Linked DNA regions of Nothobranchius furzeri. The protein of the gene in region 1 interacts with the protein of each later gene in a pairwise test. Links are inferred from orthologs where the notes say so. Each region holds a gene or a part of one and is shown in the gene's direction. Other genes may lie near its edges.

Region 1 (10,236 bases):
GCCATATAAATGTGAACATATTATTTGTAGTTTTTGCTGTATAACATAATTAAAAAATCAGGCATGCTTTTCCTACTTTAACACAATTGGGTGAAATCACAGGTACGTTCTTCCACCTCCTGGAGGACACAGCCCATCCATGCCTTTCCATCTCTGAGGATGGCTTCACTATATTTTACGGAGATGAGGAGCTACCCATAAGCGCATTGGCTCTCGATGACAACACTTTTACAAGGTTGAGTACAGATGCGACTGTGGATTGGGCCTCTATTGCAGCTCTTTATGGAGTGTGTGTGTGTGTGTGTGTGTGTAGATGTGTAGCCATCCTGGGGGATCTGATTCCAGTTAGAGGCAGGCATTACTGGGAAGTTGAAGTGGATGATGAGACGGAATTCCGGATTGGAGTCGCATATGAGGACACTGAGAGGAACTCATACCTCGGGGCAAACAGCAGTTCTTGGTGTATGAAACACATCCGCAGTCCAACCAGGTACCAAACAATGAAACGTTATGTCTTCTAATGAATCAACAGCTTGTGTGTGACTTCAAACTATAGAGGCCGACCAATATATTAATTTTTTTTTCTATATTGGCCATCAGACAAAATTATTTTTAAAAGCTGGGGGGAAAAAAACAAAAAAACAAACAGAAACCCGTGTGGCCAACTGTCGCCACTACTAGACTGAAGAAAGGACCCGAAGGCAGCGGCGGTGTTACCATTAGTTATAGGTCGGCGGCCGCCTGGGGCCCCCTTGTGTTGGGGGGCCCCCTAGCCCTGACCGCCGGCACCCCTCTGTTAATGCCACAATATTCTTATTACCAACCTGTCGCCGCAGACGGGATTGGACATGCGCAATTCTCATTACCATAATTCCTGAACCGTTCAAGATATCATTAAAATTCTAAAAGTGCTGAAAAGATTAAAAATGGGGCTTTTGGTGCATATACAATATATTACGGTAGCCACCAGGATTCCCTGTCTTGAGCGCAACGAATCACAACACAGATTCAGAGACGTGCTGAGTTTGTTATCCAAAATGCTCCGTTTTATAACTTTTGAATGGCTGATCAGATTCAAATAATTCCAACGGTTCCTAAAAGTACATAAAAGCAGCTTTCCAACAATCTATAGCACGAAGCAATCAGTTATGGAAAATGTCGCTACGAGGGGAAATCCTGCTGTACAGCCTGATTGAAACGGAGTACAGCGCAGAGGTGAAAGCAGATAACGGAACGGGGAATCTAATTAGCATAAAAAGCCGGAATGAAATTATGGAAATTCCTCAAAAAAATCTATGCGATCTAATACGTGTCCAAGAAGGCTTTTATCTGAAGTCAGTGACCACGAAGAACGACAGGTCTCCAGTGAACCAGGGTATGAACCTTTGTTCAGTCTTTATTTTTTTATTTGAACAACCCTCAACTATTTGCTCAGCTTCATTCCAGCATTATTTATCTTTTTACAATAAATAATTATTTTTGCTAAAACAAAAGTTTTTGGTATAGCAGTGCACGGTGTGCAAGAGAAGCACCCCATGGCAGTGTGAGGTGTGCAGGACTCTGCCTGCAGCTGGAGAGAAACTGCTTCAAGTCTACCACATCAAATAAAAACGTCTGAAAGTTTACAAAACTAAATGGTCTTAAAAACTGCTGAAAAAGAAACCAAGGTTCAAACTTTTTTCAGAATAGATGCAATACAGTTCAAAGTTTAAATTGTCCATTCCAGAGGTTCGGGGAGCCGTCAGGCTGAAGAAGGAGGCCTACAGGGCGTGGCTGGTCTGTGGGTCTCCGGAGGCAGCAGACAGGTACCGGATAGCCAAGCGGGGTGCAGCAGTGGCAGTTGCCGAGGCAAAATCTCGGGCGTGGGAGGAGTTTGGTGAGGCCATGGAGAAAGACTATCGATCGGCTCCAAAGAGGTTCTGGCAAACTGTCCGGCGCCTCAGGAGAGGAAGGCAGCAACTCGCTCACACTGTTTACAGTGGGGATGGGGAGCTGCTGACGTCAACTGAGGCTATAGTCGGACGGTGGAAGGAATACTTTGAGGAGCTCCTCAATCCCACCAATGCGCATTCCGAGGAGGAACCAGAGCTGGGAGGCCTGGGGATGGACTGTCCGATCTCGGGGGCAGAAGTTGCTGAGGTAGTCAAACAACTACACAGCGGCGGAGCCCCGGGGCCGGATGAGGTTCGTCCTGGGTATCTCAAGGCTATGGATGTTGTAGGGCTGTCATGGTTGACACGTCTCTACAACATTGCGTGGTCATCGGGGGCAGTTCCTAGGGAGTGGCAGACCGGGGTGGTGGTCCCCATCTTTAAGAAGGGTGACCTGAGGGTGTGTTCCAACTATAGGGGGATCACACTCCTCAGCCTCCCTGCAAAGGTCTATGCCAAGGTACTGGAGAGGAGGGTCCGATCGATAGTTGAATCTCAGATAGAGGAGGAGCAATGTGGTTTTCGTCCTGGCCGTGGAACTGTGGACCAGCTCTATACCCTTGCAAGGGTGATGGAGGGGGCATGGGAGTTTGCCCAACCAATCCACATGTGCTTTGTGGATTTGGAGAAGGCTTATGACCGTGTCCCCAGGGGCACCCTGTGGGGGACGCTCCAGGAGTATGGGGTGGGTGGCTTTCTGTTAAGGGCCATTCAGTCCCTTTACCAGAGGAGCGTGAATTTGGTCCGCATAGCCGGTAGTAAGTCGGACCTGTTCCCAGTGAGGGTTGGACTCCGCCAGGGCTGCCCTTTGTCACCGGTTCTGTTCATCACTTTTATGGACAGAATTTCTAGACGCAGCCGTGGTGTGGAGTGTGTCAAGTTTGGTGGCAGGAGAATCTCGTCTCTGCTTTTTGCGGATGATGTGGTCCTCCTAGCTTCATCCAGCTCTGACCTTCAGCTCTTGCTGGGTAGGTTCGCGGCCGAATGTGAAGCGGCTGGGATGAGGATCAGCACCTCCAAATCTGAGACCATGGTTCTCGACCGGAAAAGGGTGGCTTGCCACCTCCGGGTCGGGGGAGAGGTCCTACCTCAAGTGGAGGAGTTTAAGTATCTCGGGGTCTTGTTCACGAGTGAGGGTAGGAGGGATCGGGAGATCGACAGGCGGATTGGTTCGGCGTCTGCAGTGATGCGGACACTGAGCCGATCTGTCGTGGGGAAGAGGGAGCTGAGCCAGAAAGCCAGGCTCTCGATTTACCAGTCGATCTACGTCCCAATCCTCACCTATGGTCATGAGCTTTGGGTAATGACCGAAAGAACGAGATCGCGGATACAAGCGGCCGAAATGAGTTTCCTCCGTAGGGTGGCCGGGCTCAGCCTTAGAGATAGGGTGAGGAGCTCGGACATTCGGGAGGGACTCGGAGTAGAACCGCTGCTCCTCCGGATCGAAAGGAGCCAGTTGAGGTGGTTTGGGCATCTGGTCAGGATGCCTCCTGGACGCCTCCCCGGGGAGGTGTTTCGGGCATGTCCTGCCGGCAGAAGGCCCCCGGGTCGACCCAGGACACGTTGGAGAGGTTACATCTCCAATCTGGTCCGGGAACGCCTTGGGGTCCTGCCGGAGGAGCTGGTGGACAAGGCCGGGGAGAGGACGGCCTGGAGCTCCCTAATTGGGATGCTGCCCCCGCGACCCGGACCCGGATAAGCGGAGGAAGACGAAGACGACAAATTGTTTGCCCAGTAATTTTGAAGTTCCTGTTCAGTAATAAATGTAAAAAATTCAAATCCGTTTTTTGCTTTTTTCACTTTTAAGCTGATTTTTTAAAGGCTTTAAAAGAAATAAATTCTAAACACAAACCATACACTGAAAGCTGAGGTTGTTCTGAAAAAAGGAGAACACTTTGCAATTTTTTTATTACAATTTTACAGCCTTAAGAAAAAATACCAGGGAGCCCTGTTATAATTATGGTCATAAGAGGGTTATTAAGACACCGATGCACAAACAGGAAGTGATTGGTAGTCATTCAACTCCAATCCAGTTGGTGGCGGTAATGCACCAAATTGTTGTTTGCCAAGTGGCATAAGACCACAAATAATAAGAAGAGAGGCGGGAGTGCTCGTAAGAAATTCAAAGCAATAGTCAAAACATTAAGCATGAAACTGAGTTATCCTAGTGGCTCCAATAAGAGAAAGCAGCAGCTTGCTTCATAAAAGCTTTTATTTTCTCTTCTGAAAGTGGCGTCGTTTTTCGATGTAAACATCAGGAAGCAGAAAAGGAAAGACAATGGAAAATGTTTAAAGGGAGGAAAACACAGACCAAAATGGAAAATAGAAAAAAAAAATAACTAAGGCTAAAGCACAGGAGCACTGACAGGAAGAAGAAAGCAGAGCAAATATTGAAAGCGCTCAAAGGGAGAGAAGTACAGGAAAAAAGAGGAGGACTAATAAAAAGGGAAAATAACTCATGTCAGAAGAGGGGAGTTTTGCAAATCTAGTTAAAGGTAAGATTGTCAAAAATTTTGTGTAAAGGGCCCCATGTCTGTGTTCGCCTTGGGCCCCCAAATTGCTAAATCCGCCACTGCCCGAAGGACCCCAACACACCATTTAAGTGTTTTATATTTGAAGTTCAATAAATATTAAGAGATTTATTGACTTGTGTAATTTAAATTGCACAGTGAGTGGTAACTTCTTCACAATCAATGTGCTGCTAAAACATGTATGTGTGTGTGTGTGTGTGTGTGTATATATATATATATATATATATATATACACACACACACACACACACACATATATATATATATATATATATATATATATATGTGTGTGTGTGTGTGTGTGTGTATATATATATATATATATATATATATATATATATATATACACACACACACACACACATATATATATATATATATATATATATATATATATATACATATATATAGTCGACCATCTGCAACAAAATTCTTTAAAAAAAATCGGTATTGGCCTTAAAAAACACATCGGTCGGTCTCTGCTTTAAACACTGAATGTGGTGCACAGTCTCTGGTTATGAGTCATTCTGGAAAAGACACTCTTCCTGCTCATCTCCAACCTTCAAATTTGAGATAAATAAAAATGTTTTAGGTAGGTTTGGTTTGCCACTGAGATGATTGAATCCTTTGCTAGTGACAGAAATCTGATTTCCAACAAAGCACGTGGATTTTGACCAGCTAAAATCCAAAATGAACACGCTGGTTCTCTGAAAAACAAGTTAGTGCAGATCTGAGAAACTAGGCAGACTGTATTTTTAGCTTTTAGGACACGTGTCAGACACAAGGCGCATTTTTATGTGGCCCGCAAGATAAATTTCAAAAATATATTAAAATTGACCCGCTGGCCAATTTTACCTAAAAGACTATAACTCCCATGATGTTTTGCGGCGTTAGCACGGAGCTGAAGCGCCCCCTCCTTTGTGTTTTTTCCAACGTCTGCAGCTCCGCTGTCACGGATAAAGTAAACACTCCTCTCACTCAGAGCCGAGTTTACTCAGCTATTTGCCAACATTGAAGCCCAGAAACAGAGATTTTAACCACTCAGTAATGTGTTCACGACTGAAAGAGAAAGTTTACCAACTAACTTCCAGAGCTGATATAACTGCTGTAGTTTTTATTTTTCCTCCCCGACACATAACGTGGTAAAGCTGCTCAGACGCTCTCCATGTTCAGCAGCACAAACCTATGTGAGCACCTGTTGTCATCTAATGTTGTCATTATTATGATGAAGATGAACAAAAAAACAGGAGTCTCCTCCTCAGCTCAGATCAACCCCATGATGCAGGTATCTGGCTGGAACAGGTGAGCATCACAGTAAACCAGCGGAGCAAACTGAGCTTTAAATATGTTGGTTTTATGCTCTTTTTCTGCTCCAAAACATGAAAGTTAACAGGTGAGATGTTGCATTTTCATTTAAGATAAAATGAGTTTTATTTTGTTGTTGGCCCGTGAAAATCCCTTTATTGTTCCTCAGTGGGGAAAGCTAGACGTCACAGCAGCGATGAAACTTATTACAGGAGAAAAAAGGAGAATAAAACACAAGAAAAATGAATAAACAAGAAAACATAAATCCTGAATAGATTTTTAAAATGCTGATTATACCACAAGTAATGAATACCACTGATGTATTTTATTTAAAACTGACTTGCTCGTTTGTAATTTGGTTATTCCACATTCAGTGTTAATGCAGAAATAAGTTTGTTTCTAAATTAAAAGGTTCACAATTGCATATATGTTGATAAAGAAAATGTGCAAATTTGCCGTCACTTTTTCAAAAAATATTAAGTTTGGCCCTCGACTCCGTCCCAGTTTCATTTCAGCCCCGTGTGAATTTGAGTTTGACACCCATTTTAGAACATTTATCATTCACAAAAAAAAGAGAGAAGGCTGCTCTCTGCAAGACTAAGTCCACTAAAGGAAAGAAATATCCTGCATTAAATGTTACTTCCAAGTGTTTCTATAGCAACCATTTTTGGGAGCAAAGCTGGATGTTTTTAAGACTTAACTTGAAGCAGTGTGTCCCACAAACCCCAAATGTAATTCTATTGTGAGCATCTTTTTAATCCTTCCTTCACAGATTTTAAGTCTTGTTCATTTTGTTTCATCTGCAGCCAGTTACAATCTTGCTTGCACATAAGTCTGCATCTGCTTTCCTATTGGCAACCAACCATGAGTTGTTTAAACACTGTTTATACTAACAAACTCATAGTAATGTGGCTCTTTCTGTGAAGGCATAAATATGAGTTTCTACACAACGGCCAGAGTCCGGACTTGAGGATCACCGTGTACCCAGCACGCATCGGAGTGGCTCTCGACTACGACGGGGGAACGCTATCATTCTTCAATGCAAACCTGGGGCAACATTTGCACACCTTCCACTGTCACTTTCAAAACTATGTCCACCCTTGTTTTAGCCTGGACAGCCCAGGAGCACTCACGGTCCACAACGGCATCCAAGCTCCCGAGTACACACTCATCTAATAGAAAGCGTCTCTTCCCAACATACGGGGGAAAAAATAAACGCGCTAAACGAATGTTTCTGATGTTGACCATTATGAATGTTATTAAACAATGTTTAAACACATTTGGTAAACTCCCAACTCAAATGAATCAGTAGAGACAGTTTTAGGCGTTTTATTATAGTATTCCATGGGAACAGGCATACACCATTTTCCAAGATAAGAAAAGATTTAACTGGATTTTATATGTATTTAAACCATCTGTTGCAGCAAGATGGGATGGGACTTAAAAAGGGCCTTTTAAGTAACAAAAGATGAATAGAAAAAGAAAAAGAAAAAAGTTTGGTAATTTACATCTGAATTCACATGTTGAAACGGGAAAAGTCCACCCTGTACTTCCATAATTAAAGTGTCCGCTGATGTGCTTATAAAGCTTTTTCTCTCCTAGTCTAAAGAGAATTTGGGCATAATTTAGGGTCAGATAAAAACAAAGAAAAAGTGAAGCTTCAACAATGATGAACATAAGACAAATTAGAAAAAAAAAGAAGATGATTTGAGTTTTCTAAAAACGTCACCTGCAACACTGTCAAATGAAAAGCGACTGCAAAATGAGTTGTTTGCAAATAAATGCACACCGAGGTTGAATGAGCTGGTGGGTAAATGTACATATCTCTACAAATGAACATCAGTTTAAGGCTCCCCTCTGGACAGGTTAAAAGCTACTTGTACCAGTAAACATTCTGTGATTCAGGATAACTGAAACACAGAAATGAAAAAAAAAAAAAAAAAAATGTATTTTTTCTAAGATTTTTAAAAAATCTCGTAGTTCAGAAAATGACAGAAATAAGCTTACACATCCCAAAAAGCTTAAAGTCCATAACAACGTATGGTCATGTAAGGGTGGACTTTTCTGAAGAGTTGGAGAATTGTGTGGATTTGCTGGATGTGTGGATATCTTGGGACGGGGGGGTAGGGCTGGCAGAAGTTATGAGTTTTCTGTCTTACTGCTGCGTGTCCTCTCCTCCTCTTCATCTGAGGAATCTCCTCCATAGGGCACAAGCCCAGAAGCATTTAGGTTCACTCTAGTCTTCTTCACACACACCTCGTCTGGAACATCTGGAAGGTCACAAGAAAAAAGACAAGAGAAAAAAAAAACAGGGAAGTGGGAGACATGAAAGAAGAGAGGGATGGGGTCAGAGAGAGAGAGAGCAAAACCAAATGGAAACCCATTGAGGAGCCCCACATAAGCGGTGGTTTTTCAGTGCGTTTGATCCAGAGCCAGGAGGGAAGATATCAAATCAAACGGCAGCAGAGCACACATCCATTATAGGCACGTCCGGGGACACATGTTGAGAGAGAAAACAAGGGAAAGACAAAAAACATATACAAGAAGAGCGCATTAGTGAGTTCCATCAGTGGTGGGATTCATACAGGTCTCCACTCCTCCCCCATTGCTCCATGGGAGGAGACGCTACGTCATGCAATAGACAGCTCCACAGCAGAAACATCCCGAGTTCTCAGGACTCTCAGAACATTTGAAAATGAAGGAACGCATACCCAATGATGCGGCGCTGATGGGAAGGCTAGCCGGTTCTTCTATCACAACTTCTCTCTCTCTTTTGCGTAAAGCTGGAGCAGGAGCAGGTGAAGTAGGAGGAGGAGGAACAGGGGCCACAAAGACAGGCGGTGGTGGAGGCATCAGTATTCTAAAAAAAAATATATATATATATATATATAAACATTTTTTATTTACACCAAAATGGATTTGAAAATGATACAAGTGAGACTAAAACATATCAACAGACCTTTCTACTACCGTTTCCGCCATGACTCCAGTTGAAGGAAGAGTTGACTCCAGATGAGCAGGACACTCTGGAAAGCAGCTCTTAGGCTACAGGGAAATTTATATTAAATTTAATTTAAAAAAGACATTTTAAAAATGTACCAAAAACAATATAAAACCTCCTGGCTTTAGAATATTTTATCGACTGCTAAGAACATGAAGTCTGAATACTTTTTTATTTTTAGCTCTGCTTAAAACAAAAAGCTACTTTCGACACCGGCTCGTTTCCAGTAACATTTGGGGTTTTAATATTAACATTTTTTCCTGAGAATCATAAAATCTGGGAGAGCGTATAACAAAAGCTCAGCTGATGACCAAAGCAAATGTTTTAAAGCTGGACCGTAAACGGCGTGGTTGGTCAGTCAGAATGCACCATAACCAATACGCTAACCTTTACTAGGACATCTTCAATGTGTTATTTTAGTGTGAAAAGAATGATTGCAATAATGAAAATGGGTGTAAAACAGCAGATGTGTAATAAGTTACTGAAGGAAAACATCTGTGTGCCTCTCTGTTCCACATTAATGGTAGAAATCAGTGCTCCAGCTAACCTCTTCATCCTTATCCCCTTCTTGGGAATGCTGTTTGGGACTTCCTGAGTCAGGGGGGATGTTTAAAGATGCCCCAGGCTCCATCGTGTCACTGTTGCCTGGATCCTTAATAAGTAGAGCACAACCAACTTATATACACACACACTGATTCAGCCAAGAAAATAATCTCATTACAACTCACTAAAGGAGTTGAAAGGTTTTTATGTTTTTGGCGTGAAACAGAAACTAGAATTCAGCAACTAACACTTAAGCCGTAGTAATCACCTGGACAATATAGGGATGTGGTTTCCTTGGACACATTGGATACTGAACCATGCCTTGGGAAGATGAAGTGTTTGTTGATGTGTTGGATTGACATGGAGGACCATCGGTATTACTCCAATAAGCACCGGCTCCAGGATATGCTGCGTATCCTCCAGTATACCCGTTTGCTGGGTAGGTATACCAGGACGCCTGGCTAGAGTAGCTGCTATTGGATGGATACCCATGTGCTGCATATGCTGAAAGGACAGTTAAAATTTTAATTAATGTAAAACACCACACGGATCTAACTATTTCAACAAACTGCGGAGCCACAACTAAACTTTAAGAGGGGATGCATTAATCAAAAGAAGAATGCAGCCATTCCACAGCTGATATTTGGTCAACTTGTTTGAGCATACCCATCTCTTTAATATATGTAATAAAATACTCACGTTGTGTTGAGCCTGTGGCTGTGTACACCGACACCATTTGGGCATGCTCGGCTCTCACCTGGAGAACAAGAGAAAACAAGAACTAATTCATAAGCAAGGCAAATCCCACAAAGGCTTCATTGATTCATTCCAAGTAATGGGATTGTGGGTAGGTGCAGAGCACTCGAGATCTATCACTGGAGATCTGGTGGTTCACACTACCACATTCAATATTGGAGGTGGGTAT
Region 2 (10,639 bases), on another chromosome or scaffold:
GAATGTAATGCATTTGTTCACTTTTGAATGTTTCACTGTGACTGAGTCCGATTTATTTTATTTGAGTTATTCAAGTTGTCACTTAACAATTTTTCTCAATTTTCCCCTTTGCCTGACTCACACCGTCTTAATCTCCAGGGCAGTGGTCCTGCGCCTAGTGAGCTTAGGCATCCTTCTCTTCACCCTGTGTAGTCAGATCACCTGTAGCGGGAACGCAGAAGCGTCTGCGTGTCAGCAGTGCCGATACGATCATGAAAAATACCCGGTAAATATGTCTATGCATACATTTGTAGCTAAAAGCATAGAAAAGTGGAGTCCAGAGTCTCAGGTGTAAATTATACAACAGTTTTATAGCCATTGGCGGCTCATCCATAGGGGGCTCTGCCCTCCATGACTTGGAAGGAAAAGGAAAAAATCTGGAAAAGTAAAGAAAATACTACAATATATAATCATATAGTTACTATATATGTGTCGGGATAGCCTACATGCATTTTGAATGGTTTGCTCGTCATTTTCACCAGCTGTCTCTCATTAAACAGAGAATTTTCTCCACCAGACTCACTTGTTTCCCTCCAGGGGCGCTGGGAAAAGTGCCCCTAAACTGCAGCTAAACAGCCAGTCACATTTGGTTGCTAGAGAGAACTTGAGAATTTGGGGCCAATCAGCATCAGTGAATTTAATGTCTCTGGGGCGCTGCCTGACACAGCTAGCTAGCATGGTGCTGAATCTCATTTTCACTCTCTCACTTCCTCATTCACACACATTCACTGTTGGCTTTATATAGAGCTGAAATCCTAGCTATGTCCATCCATCCATCCATCCATCCCTTATCCACTGCTCATCCGGAGTCGGGTCGCGGGGGCAGCAGCTTAAGCAGAGAGGCCCAGACTTCCCTCTCCCCAGCCACTTGGACTAGCTCCTCCGGGGGAATCCTAAGGCGTTCCCTGGCCAGTTGAGAGACATAGTCCCTCCAGCGTGTCCTGGGTCTGTCGTTTGGTTTTCTCCTGGTTGGACGTGCCTGGAAAACCTCTTCAGGGAGGTGTCCAGGAGGCCTAAAGGTTGGTTTATGCTTGACACGTCCGTGAGGTCCGCACGGCTCCGCGCGGAAAAGTTGCGTCATTTTGCGTCATTTTAACAACCAGGCCCCTCCACCGCGCCTCCGCACGAACCAGAATTTCCACAACGCGCACCTCGGAAAATTTCTAACCACGCGGACGGACGGACACGGAAAAACATGGTGGATCGGCAAGAACTAGTACGGCAGAGGTTTGTAAATACAGACATTTGTATGATTCAGCTCTCAGAGATCACCGTGATCAACATGTTAATAATTCTTGGAGAGAAATAGCTCGCACTGTCGGAAAAGACGAGGACGCTGTTAAAAAAGCTGGAATGCCATGTTGTAAACAACAGTAATTTTTACTTCTACTACGGTGTAGTGTTGGATGCATGCCGTAGAGCTCCATGCTGCCCCCTACAGTTTGGGAGAATATTGGCTCACCGCAGAGACGAGCCGCATGAACCATAAACGCTGCGAGTTGTGAAGCGCGTTCCATCCGCGAGCCGCATCACCGCGTGGAAAGTGAATGCGTCAAGCATAAACCAAGCTTTACCCTTTAGCTGTGTTTGTTTGTTCACATGTTATGTTGTGTTATTGCCACCTACTGGCCAAACTGAGGATTTTGCTTTGAGCCCTTAAATTCTCACATACATTGTTTGTTTTGGAATTGTAGTCATTTTTCAACTGTTCATTTTAAAACTTATCGTGAAGAAATACTTCACATATAGCACCTGAACGCTTCTGCAGCTTAGAGCAACAAGTAAAAGACGACGTTCTGGTGCTTGGGCCAGGTTTTCTATACTTTACCGTAAAAAGGGACTTGATTGTTGCACTACCAGGATGCATGGCATTAAAAGATGCATTATTCTTATCTTTTCCTGTCCCCCTGTGACGTAGTGCTGGGAAACCCGTGTAGGACAGGAGATGTACAAACTCATGCTGTTTGACCTGCTGGTAAACATCGCTCTGCTCGTGCTTGTCGAGTTTCCACGCAGGTACAAAACCAAGTTTCAGACATGGAAGGCGGTTTGGGATTTACAGCATATACGCCGTAGGATATGAGGTGTTTGTGTTTTCTTGTGTGTGTCAGGATTGTGGTGGACAACTGGTCCTGTAAGCTGTCTCAGCTGGTGGGCCGCCAGGAGTTCGTTGTCCCTTCCAACGTCCTCGGGCTTGTTTATGGTCAGACGGTGGTCTGGGCTGGAGCTCTGTTCTGCCCTCTGCTGCCTCTCATGAACACCATTAAATTTGTCATCCTCTTTTACTGCAAGAAGGTGAAGAATTTAACATAAAACTTGTTTTTTTCCCTCTCACATACATTATAATTATTTGTATTAGTGATGATATTGTGTTTGCGTGTCCACAGATCACACTCTTCCACAACTGTCGGCCAGCGCTGAAGACGTTTCGGTCCACCACCTCCACCTTCTTTTTCCTGGTGGTGCTTCTGTTTGGCTGGACGTTGGCCCTGGTTGTTATGATTTACAGCCTTGCTGTGTGAGTGCTGACTGCTGCAGATTTATCCTTAATATTTCCAACAAAACAGCGTTTTAGAAAGTCAGAACAGTCAGGGCATCACTAAACACTTTAAGAAGGATTCTTTCCACCTCTCCAAACAGGATCAACCCTTCGATGGCGTGTGGGCCTTTCCGCTTCTTCCCCTCCATGTGGAAGATTGTTCCAAACTCTTTCTACTGTCTCTCTAAAGTTACACAGGATTTTCTCTTCTTCATTGGCTCACAGGCATTTTCCATACCTCTTTTTGCTTTATCATGGTGAGTGTGCATTTGTGAAATATTTATTATTTATTAGATTTAATCTACAGATTATCACAGTGCCTTTTTTCCTCTCTGCCAGCGTGATTATGTGCTATTTTGTAGCATTAGCTTCCATCTATGGAAAAAGTGTTGAGATGCTCAAAGCTCAGCTTAAGTTGGTATGTTGTTCCTACTTACAAAGATCAAGGATCATTTGTATAATATCCTCAGTGGTAGCTAATATTGTCCAATGTCATGTCTTTGATTTTCAGGAGGGTCAAGATAAGCAGTTTTTGGTCAAACAGATTGAAAGACTAAAGCTGCAACATCTGATGCCAGCACTAAGAGCAGAAGTACAAGACTGAACACAACCGATGACCACGTTTAGTTTTTCTGACCTAAATAATGAAGTAACTAATATGTCTTCTGGGGGGGAGAAATCTCATTAATCCAGACTAGATCTCATTTGACAATTACTATATTCATTTACAGCGTTTCTGTTGTGAAGCTGAAACAATAAGAGAATTTGTTATTTAAAGTCAGTATAATTTTGATTGTTGTTCTAAACATTAGTGTTGAATTAATAAACATGCACAGAATTTATTTATGATTTTGAGAGGCTATTTTTCTTTTGTATAAAACAACCTCGGGTGCAGAATCACCAAAAATGCTAACAAGAAAGAGCATGCATTTCACAAAATGCTACATTCCAAAGCCAACATATACTTTACCTTTTTGTCCTTTCATAATGAGTACATTGTTTTTGACATCTTTTGGTTATAGCAAAAAATATATATATTTGGGACATACCGGTAAATATTTTTGTGGCACCTGTACAAATACCAGTAGAGTTTCAGCGCCCCCTGGTGTTACATATTGTAATTACATAACACGATTATTGTTTACTTCCTGTTTAACTCTACTACTTCCTGTGAGCGCAACAAACCAGAAGCTACTCCTCCGTTAGCTCGTCATTGATAGCATTTATTATATTTTAGGAAAGTAGTCAACTTAAATAGATAATGTGAGTGAGTAAGGTCCACGTTATTTTCTTCTGCGTCATCACAAAACATTGGCAAGTACTAGCGACCTTCCCTATTTAGCTTAATTTCCTAAAAAGAAAGAAAACAGCGACGCATATTTGATTGTTGGGCGTATTTGAAAAATTCTGCTTCTGTATTTAGACATTTTGTCGAATAACCTGCTTATTTCTACTATACACCAATATATTAACTGACCAGAGTGAGTGTTTTCTCTTGTCGTTAGCTTTCTAAGCTAGCTGACTGCTAATTGTCGGTCACCAAGGCAACCATGAACATCCTCCCGAAGAAGAGTTGGCACGTCCGCAACAAGGACAACATTGCGCGCGTGCGGAGGGATGAAGCCCAGGCAGCAGAAGAGGAGCGCGAGGCCAAGCGTCGCGTGGAGCGAGCAGAGCAAGAGGTAGTCCCCCTCTGGTGTTAGCATGGTCATTCATTAGTCTTCACTCTCTCTCTTTCTTAACATTTTTTTTGAATCACAATTGTCTATTTTTGCTCATTTTAAATATATTTTTAAACATTTTCTAAATGCTTTTTTATTTTTTTACATTTTTGTTTTTGTGAAGTGCCTCGTGATTTTTATCTTTAGAGGCACTATAGAAATTATATTTTCTTCTTCTTCTTAATAAGCGATATAAGTATCATTACTACTGTGGAAAATGTATTTGAGTGCAACACAACTGTAACGCATAGAAAAACCACAAATCAGCCGAATGTACAGGGTACCTGGCACTTTAATTGAAATATTTAAGAAATTAGTTCTGGAAAAATGATCAAAAGTAAACAAAAGAGTTTCACAGATTTTAATCCTGACCATTTAAAACTAAATAAATACAGAAATAAATGTCTTTTGGGGAGAAAGACAAAAGAACCAGTCACACGAAGGTCAGGTGGATGTTTGGAGTTTGGAAAAGTGTAGAAATGTTAAGGTTATAGATGTTAAACAATCTGAATGCCACATGTAGATTAAAACCGCAGCAATGATTTCAGTAATAAGAAAAACTGAAAACATTCTGAGCTTCGTCACGTTCTCTCTCCTCGTTGATTCTATCTAAACCGCTGCGTGCACATATGAGGCAAGAGCACTTTATCATGAGTAACTTTATTACAATAAAGAGCCACAACAATAGTACCACTGTCAAATGTCCCAGACGATACACATAATTCAAAGTTGTATAATTTAGCAAATAATCTGCTTTACACAGTGCTATTTAGGATTTAGTTGCTTTCAGCTTGTTGCAAAAGCTCAGTTAGGTCCTATGTCTTCAGCTGCATTTGCTTACAATCCAAAATAACTATTTATTATTTATATCTTTAGTTTATTCTAACAGCTTTTTGTTTCTACAGGCGCGTACAGAGTATCTGAGAAGGAAATCTCGAGCTGCTCTTCAGTCAGAAGGAGGAAGCAGAGATGATGATGATGAAAAGGAAGGTGGAGGAGGCTTGGAGCACCTCAACCTCTTCCCTTTGGAGGAGTCTTCAGAGAAGAAGGGGAACGAGGAGTATCTTAAAGAAAAGAAAGAGGAAAAGGTGACAGAAAAACCTTAATACATGTGTGGATTATTTATTTTTTGGGGTTTTATATTTGCTTCAGTAACACCTTTTCCAGGGTATCCGCGGGTCCTTAAAAAGTCTTAAATTAGCTTTTCCAAATTTAAGGCCTTAAAAATCCTTAAAAATGACAAATAATCCTTAAATACAGTTTCCAGAGGTCTTAAATTACCAAAGACCCAATAAACAAGATTCTTTTATTTCTATAAAATTTTCATGAATTTCTAGTTAGCGTTCAGCATTTTTGTGTACGATGTTGCCGTAAGCGGAACCGTACACGTTCAGTTGGTTGTGAAAGGGGGCTATTTTTAGATGAGCACGTTAGCTGGTTAAGCTAGTGGGAGCTTGCGCCATGGGGAAGGGCAAGTTTAATGGTAACTGGATGGCTAATCCCATGATCGCGGCGTGGTTAGCACCGGTTCCAGGCAATAGCTGGAAATTATAGCTTAAATGATAAATGACCCGCACTTGTATAGCGCCTGTCAGAGGAAGGACTCCAAAGCGCTTTACACCACAGTGTATCATTGATCCATTCACACACACATTCACACACTGGTGGTGATGAGCTACGATGTAGAGGCGAGGCTGCCGAGCACAGGCGCCACCGGTCCCTCCGACCACCACCAGCAGGCAAGGTGGGTTAAGAGTCTTGCCCAAGGACACAACAGCAGAATTCTCTGTCCGGAGCCAGGATCGAACCTGCAACCTTCCGATTACTGGACAACCCGCTCAACCTGTTGAGCTACCGCTGCCTTGCTTAAATAGCTTAAATTTGGTCAAAGTGGCCTTAAAAAAGGTCTTAAAAAGTCTTAAATTTGTCTCCCTTAAACCTGCAGATACCCTGTTTTCAAAAACCCCTTTGTTTAAATATAATCTGCATCTTCTCATCCAGGAGAAGCAGGAACGCGCCATCGGCCTACTGGTGTCTTTAGGACCCCAGCCAGGCTCTGAGGTGACTCCGTGGTACCTGAAGAGCAGCAAAGACAAAGAAAGTCAAGAGAAAGACAAAAAGAAGGGAATAAGTGAAGAGGAGAAAGAGAAGAAGGATCGGAGGCTGAAGAGTAGTTTGGATCCCCTGAACGAAATGAAGAAAGCTCTAGACGTGTTTGAACGAAAAGTACCTAAAAACAGGAAAAAGGAAAAAAGAGACAAAGTGGAAAAGCAGAGCAGTGGAGAAAGGTGGGATGGGATTTGCTGCTTTACATTTGTGAATCACTCCTCTAGTTCAGACTCTCAGTGGCTTTCATAAGAATATCTCCTGTTTATCTTAGATAAATGCGTCCAGGTTTTTGTCGGGTAACATCCCATCATTCATGATCTGCACTGTGTTTTCCAGCTCCATGGAAAGGTTACGCGCTGAACGTTTACAGAGGGAGGCTGAAGAAAGGAGGAAAACCCAGGCTCTTCTAGAACAGAGGAGTGGTAAAAGGAAGGAGTCAGAAAGAGAACTGAATGACAGAGAACGGCCCTACAACAGCGCCTACTTTCCTGAACTCGCTCGAAAGCGACAAAGGCGAGATCGAGAGAGCTGGAGGGATGAGATTCTTAAGTCCTGAGCTGCGATTTGGTGTTTTTTGGTCGGAGTAAAGAGGAAACATGACGGTAAACTGGAAAAAATGTGAATTTTGTTCAGAAAGCCAGTGATTTAATGCGGTGAACATCTTTACAACTTTTGCTCCCTCGTAGAGTGAAACACGTGCAGGAACATTAGCGGCGCACGAACAGCTGCAGGTTCCTCTGCTCCTGCAGCGTTTCACTCGTGTGTGCATCAGCGGGGCAGATGGTTGCCTTTACAGGGGGCTCAGGCCGTCACCCAGGCAGGGTGTCCGCGGGGTTTTAAAAAGTATTAAAAAGTGATAAATAAAAATAGTCAAATTTAAGGCCATTAAAAGTGTTAAATTTGGTCTCAGAGGTATTATATTTTCCAAATTAGGTATTATTTTTTTCAGACTATCAGATGTCGTATTCTGAACATCGACATAGAAATATATTCCGAATCAAATGTTTTGAACGATTATAAAAACAAAACAAGCCGATTATTTGCTCCTCCCACTTGCGCTGCCTTGAGTTACAAATGAAGCGCTCCTCCCAGTGTTGCCAAGTTAACTTAGCGACTTTGACGCTATTTCTAGCAGCTTTTCAGACCCCCTTCATGACTTTTTAAATCTTAAAAGTACCTAGTGAACACCTCAGAAACATCTCTGGTAACCCTTAGCTACTTTCTGGATAACTGTCGTCGACGTTTCCTGCAGGTTAGCTAAACACTCCGCCTGCGCTCCGGACCGTTCTTCAGGACATTAGGAAAGGGAATGATGCAGTGATGTGTCGGTTGCTAAAGAAACAGCTCTTGGAGCCGGCTCCCTGTTGGAGTAACCAGAGTGAGTGACGCACACACCGCACCTGCGGACTCCTGAGCCGATAAAAACGGCTAAATGTGCGCGTGCGGCGCGCTAAACACACGTGCAGCTTACCCCTGATTGCTGTGAGACCGGGCTGGGGGGTGGGGGTGCAGCTGTGGTTGGGACAATTATTACATTAACTGATGGACCTGTAAATAAATAGTTTATAAATAAGGTAGAAATAAGTTCCTCACGCTGATAAATAATAACTAATCTCTCTGAGGACACGGTGCTTGTGCACTCTCCTACAGCACCTTGAGACACGACTCAATACATGTTATGCAAAATTTTGTGAACATCAATTTGCATGTATTTGTTATAAATGCCACTGTATAATTCTTGCTGTCAGTATTTGCAAGATAATGGTATTTGGGTCTGTACTGGTTAGACTTAAATGAGTTAAACCAAGGTTTATAGCCCTTGGGTCATAAACTATGAGCTATAAGTATATTGGTCTTTTTATACTGGGAATCAGGAGTTATTTTAGTTGTTACGGCTGGAGCCTTTTTGTGTTGTGATTTCATTTTTCTGTGCATTTTATGTTGCATCTGAGGAGCCTGCCTGCAGACTATGTTGGCTCACCCTTGCTCCTCCCTGGACCAGCTGAGCTGGGTTTTCATCAGCCACAAATTGTTTAAAGGACCAGCTGGAGCTCCTCACCAAAGGGGGACAATAGTGCAGAGCTGCATTTCCTCTGGTCTGTTGTCTCCCACTTAGAACTTCGATATTGTGCTCTTACTGTTTGAACCTGTTTTGGTAAAAGTGGATTTAGATCCGTGGTGGTTAAAACCATAATAGTAATCTTTTCTGAATTAAGAGAAAGTAAATAAAACCTTTGTTAATTTTCCTTTGTGTCACGCGTCCTCCATGTTACCCCAGGCCCCCTAGACACCTGGTTGTAACATATGGGGGCTCGTCCGCGATCATTAAGTACCCTTAAACTGAGGCTGGATGCGTGATCATTTGTGTGTATCAGTGTTTTACCAGTTATGGCTACTTTTGATTTAGCGCAGTTTGTGGAGGCCCCATCCCGTGGACTGATTGGTGCCTGTCGCAAGCGGGATCTGCTGGACGTGGCGGATCACTTTGGATTTCAGGTGGACAGCTCAATGTTAAAGGTGGAGCTGCAGGAGGTGGTAATCAGTGGCCTGGAGGACTTGGGCCTGCTTACTCGGCAACAGGCTGCCTCGCCTGCGGAGGCCCGTGTACATGCTGAACCTCCCCTGGCGACCCCGCCCCCTGTCAGCCCTGCAGCACCTGATGACAGAGACAGACTGGTTACAGCTGCTGGAGACGCCGACCCGGCTGACTCTGATGAGGACATGACTCCAGCCGAATTCAGGCTGAGGATTGAGCAACTCCGTTTGGACGCTGAGGACCGAGCCCAGCGCAGACAGCTGGAGTTTGAGATGAGAAAGCTGGAACTGGAAGCTGATACAAAATTGCGGCTCCGCAAACTTGAACTTGAACACGAGGCTGTGAAGGCTGAGAAAGAGACATCTCCGGTGAGTTCCCCACCGCAAGACTCTTTTAATATCAGTAACTGCATGGCGTTGATGCCTGTTTTCAGGGAATCTGAGGTTGACTGCTACTTCTCTGCGTTTGAACGCATCGCAACGGCGCTTAATTGGCCGCGGGATGTGTGGCCTCTTCTGCTGCAGTGCAGATTCACAGGTAAAGCCTCCGAGGTTGTAGCCGCTCTCTCTGTCTCGGATAGCAATAATTATGACACCGTTAAAACTGCAGTTTTACAGGCATATGAGTTGGTGCCAGAAGCCTATCGCCAGAAACTCAGACTTTCCAGGAAAAACTCTGCACAGACACACATAGAGTTTGCTCGAGTAAAAACGGTTTTATTCGATAAATGGTGTAATTCCTCCAAGGTAAAAGACTTTTCTACTTTGCGTGAGCTCCTGCTCCTTGAGGAATTTAAACGCTGCATCCCTGATAAAGTGGTTCAGTATGTAAACGAGCAGAAGGTGACGTCATTGTCTGCTGCAGCGCAGCTCGCGGATGAGTTTGTGTTAACTCACAGGGTGAACTTTGATCCCAACAGAAGACCCTCACCTGGGCCGCCTGCTGAGGCAGACATAACGAATGTCGTTCCTGAACCTGCTCTGTGTTTTTATTGTCACAAGCCTGGTCATGTCATAAAGGACTGTCCCATTCTCCAGGCCAAGAATGTAAGACAAGAACAGCCTGACAATGTTGAGGTTTTTACCTGTTCAGCCCATGTTACTGTTGGGGAACGGGATGTGGGATCCTGTTTTAAGCCATTTGTATTTTCTGGATTTGTTTCATTGTCGGCTGATGATAGGCCTGTACCGATAAAAATCCTGAGGGACACTGGGGCATCTCATTCTCTCATTCTGAGTTCGGCATTACCCTTTTCTGGAAGAAGTGCTTGTGGTTTTAAAGTAGTTGTTAAAGGGATTGCGCCCCTGTCCTTTCAGAGGCCTGTCCATCGTGTGTTTTTAACATCTGATCTCGTCACAGGATATTTTAACATTGCTGTCTGTCGCTCCCTACCAGTGGATGGCGTCGTTCTCCTGTTGGGAAATGACATCGCCGGGGACTTGGTGGTTCCACCTGCCTGGTCAAAACCTCAAGCTAAGGGAGTAGAAAACATGTCAGTTTCTACTCCTAATGGTCTCATTGCAGGAAACAAAAACACAGGCTCCTGTGAAATGGACAGACGTGTTGCTGAGCCTGAGCCGCCCGTGTTTGATGCTGGGTTTTGTGGACCAGCCAAAATAAAGAGGAAAAATAAAAAGAAACCATTATGATTTATCCGTGAGTAGTGTACAGAGACCTTCGCTTTACAAATTCCGT

The links. The genes of interacting proteins can lie anywhere in the genome.
Region 2: the proteins of fibronectin type III and SPRY domain-containing protein 2 (region 1) and leng1 interact in binary tests that used the Homo sapiens proteins (3 or more experiments, as listed by UniProt). The two-hybrid records come from large-scale screens. The link is inferred for Nothobranchius furzeri from reciprocal best matches to the Homo sapiens genes FSD2 and LENG1.

The regions. Positions count from the first base shown.
Region 1 is NC_091749.1:41,532,038-41,542,273, forward strand, and holds the end of fibronectin type III and SPRY domain-containing protein 2, read left to right. Parts: intron 1-102; coding exon 103-235; intron 236-313; coding exon 314-490; intron 491-6,693; coding exon 6,694-6,943; 3' UTR 6,944-7,046; downstream 7,047-10,236. Other genes in the region: KH homology domain-containing protein 4, read right to left, coding at 7,907-8,037, 8,479-8,627, 8,727-8,812, 9,316-9,420, 9,580-9,815, 10,011-10,068.
Region 2 is NC_091745.1:76,662,413-76,673,051, reverse strand, and holds leng1 (leukocyte receptor cluster member 1), read left to right. Parts: upstream 1-3,741; 5' UTR 3,742-3,892; intron 3,893-4,083; 5' UTR 4,084-4,128; coding exon 4,129-4,260; intron 4,261-5,204; coding exon 5,205-5,387; intron 5,388-6,300; coding exon 6,301-6,587; intron 6,588-6,744; coding exon 6,745-6,964; 3' UTR 6,965-7,015; downstream 7,016-10,639. Other genes in the region: voltage-gated chloride channel TMC4, read left to right, coding at 139-265, 1,958-2,055, 2,151-2,334, 2,427-2,557, 2,680-2,835, 2,918-2,996, 3,090-3,182.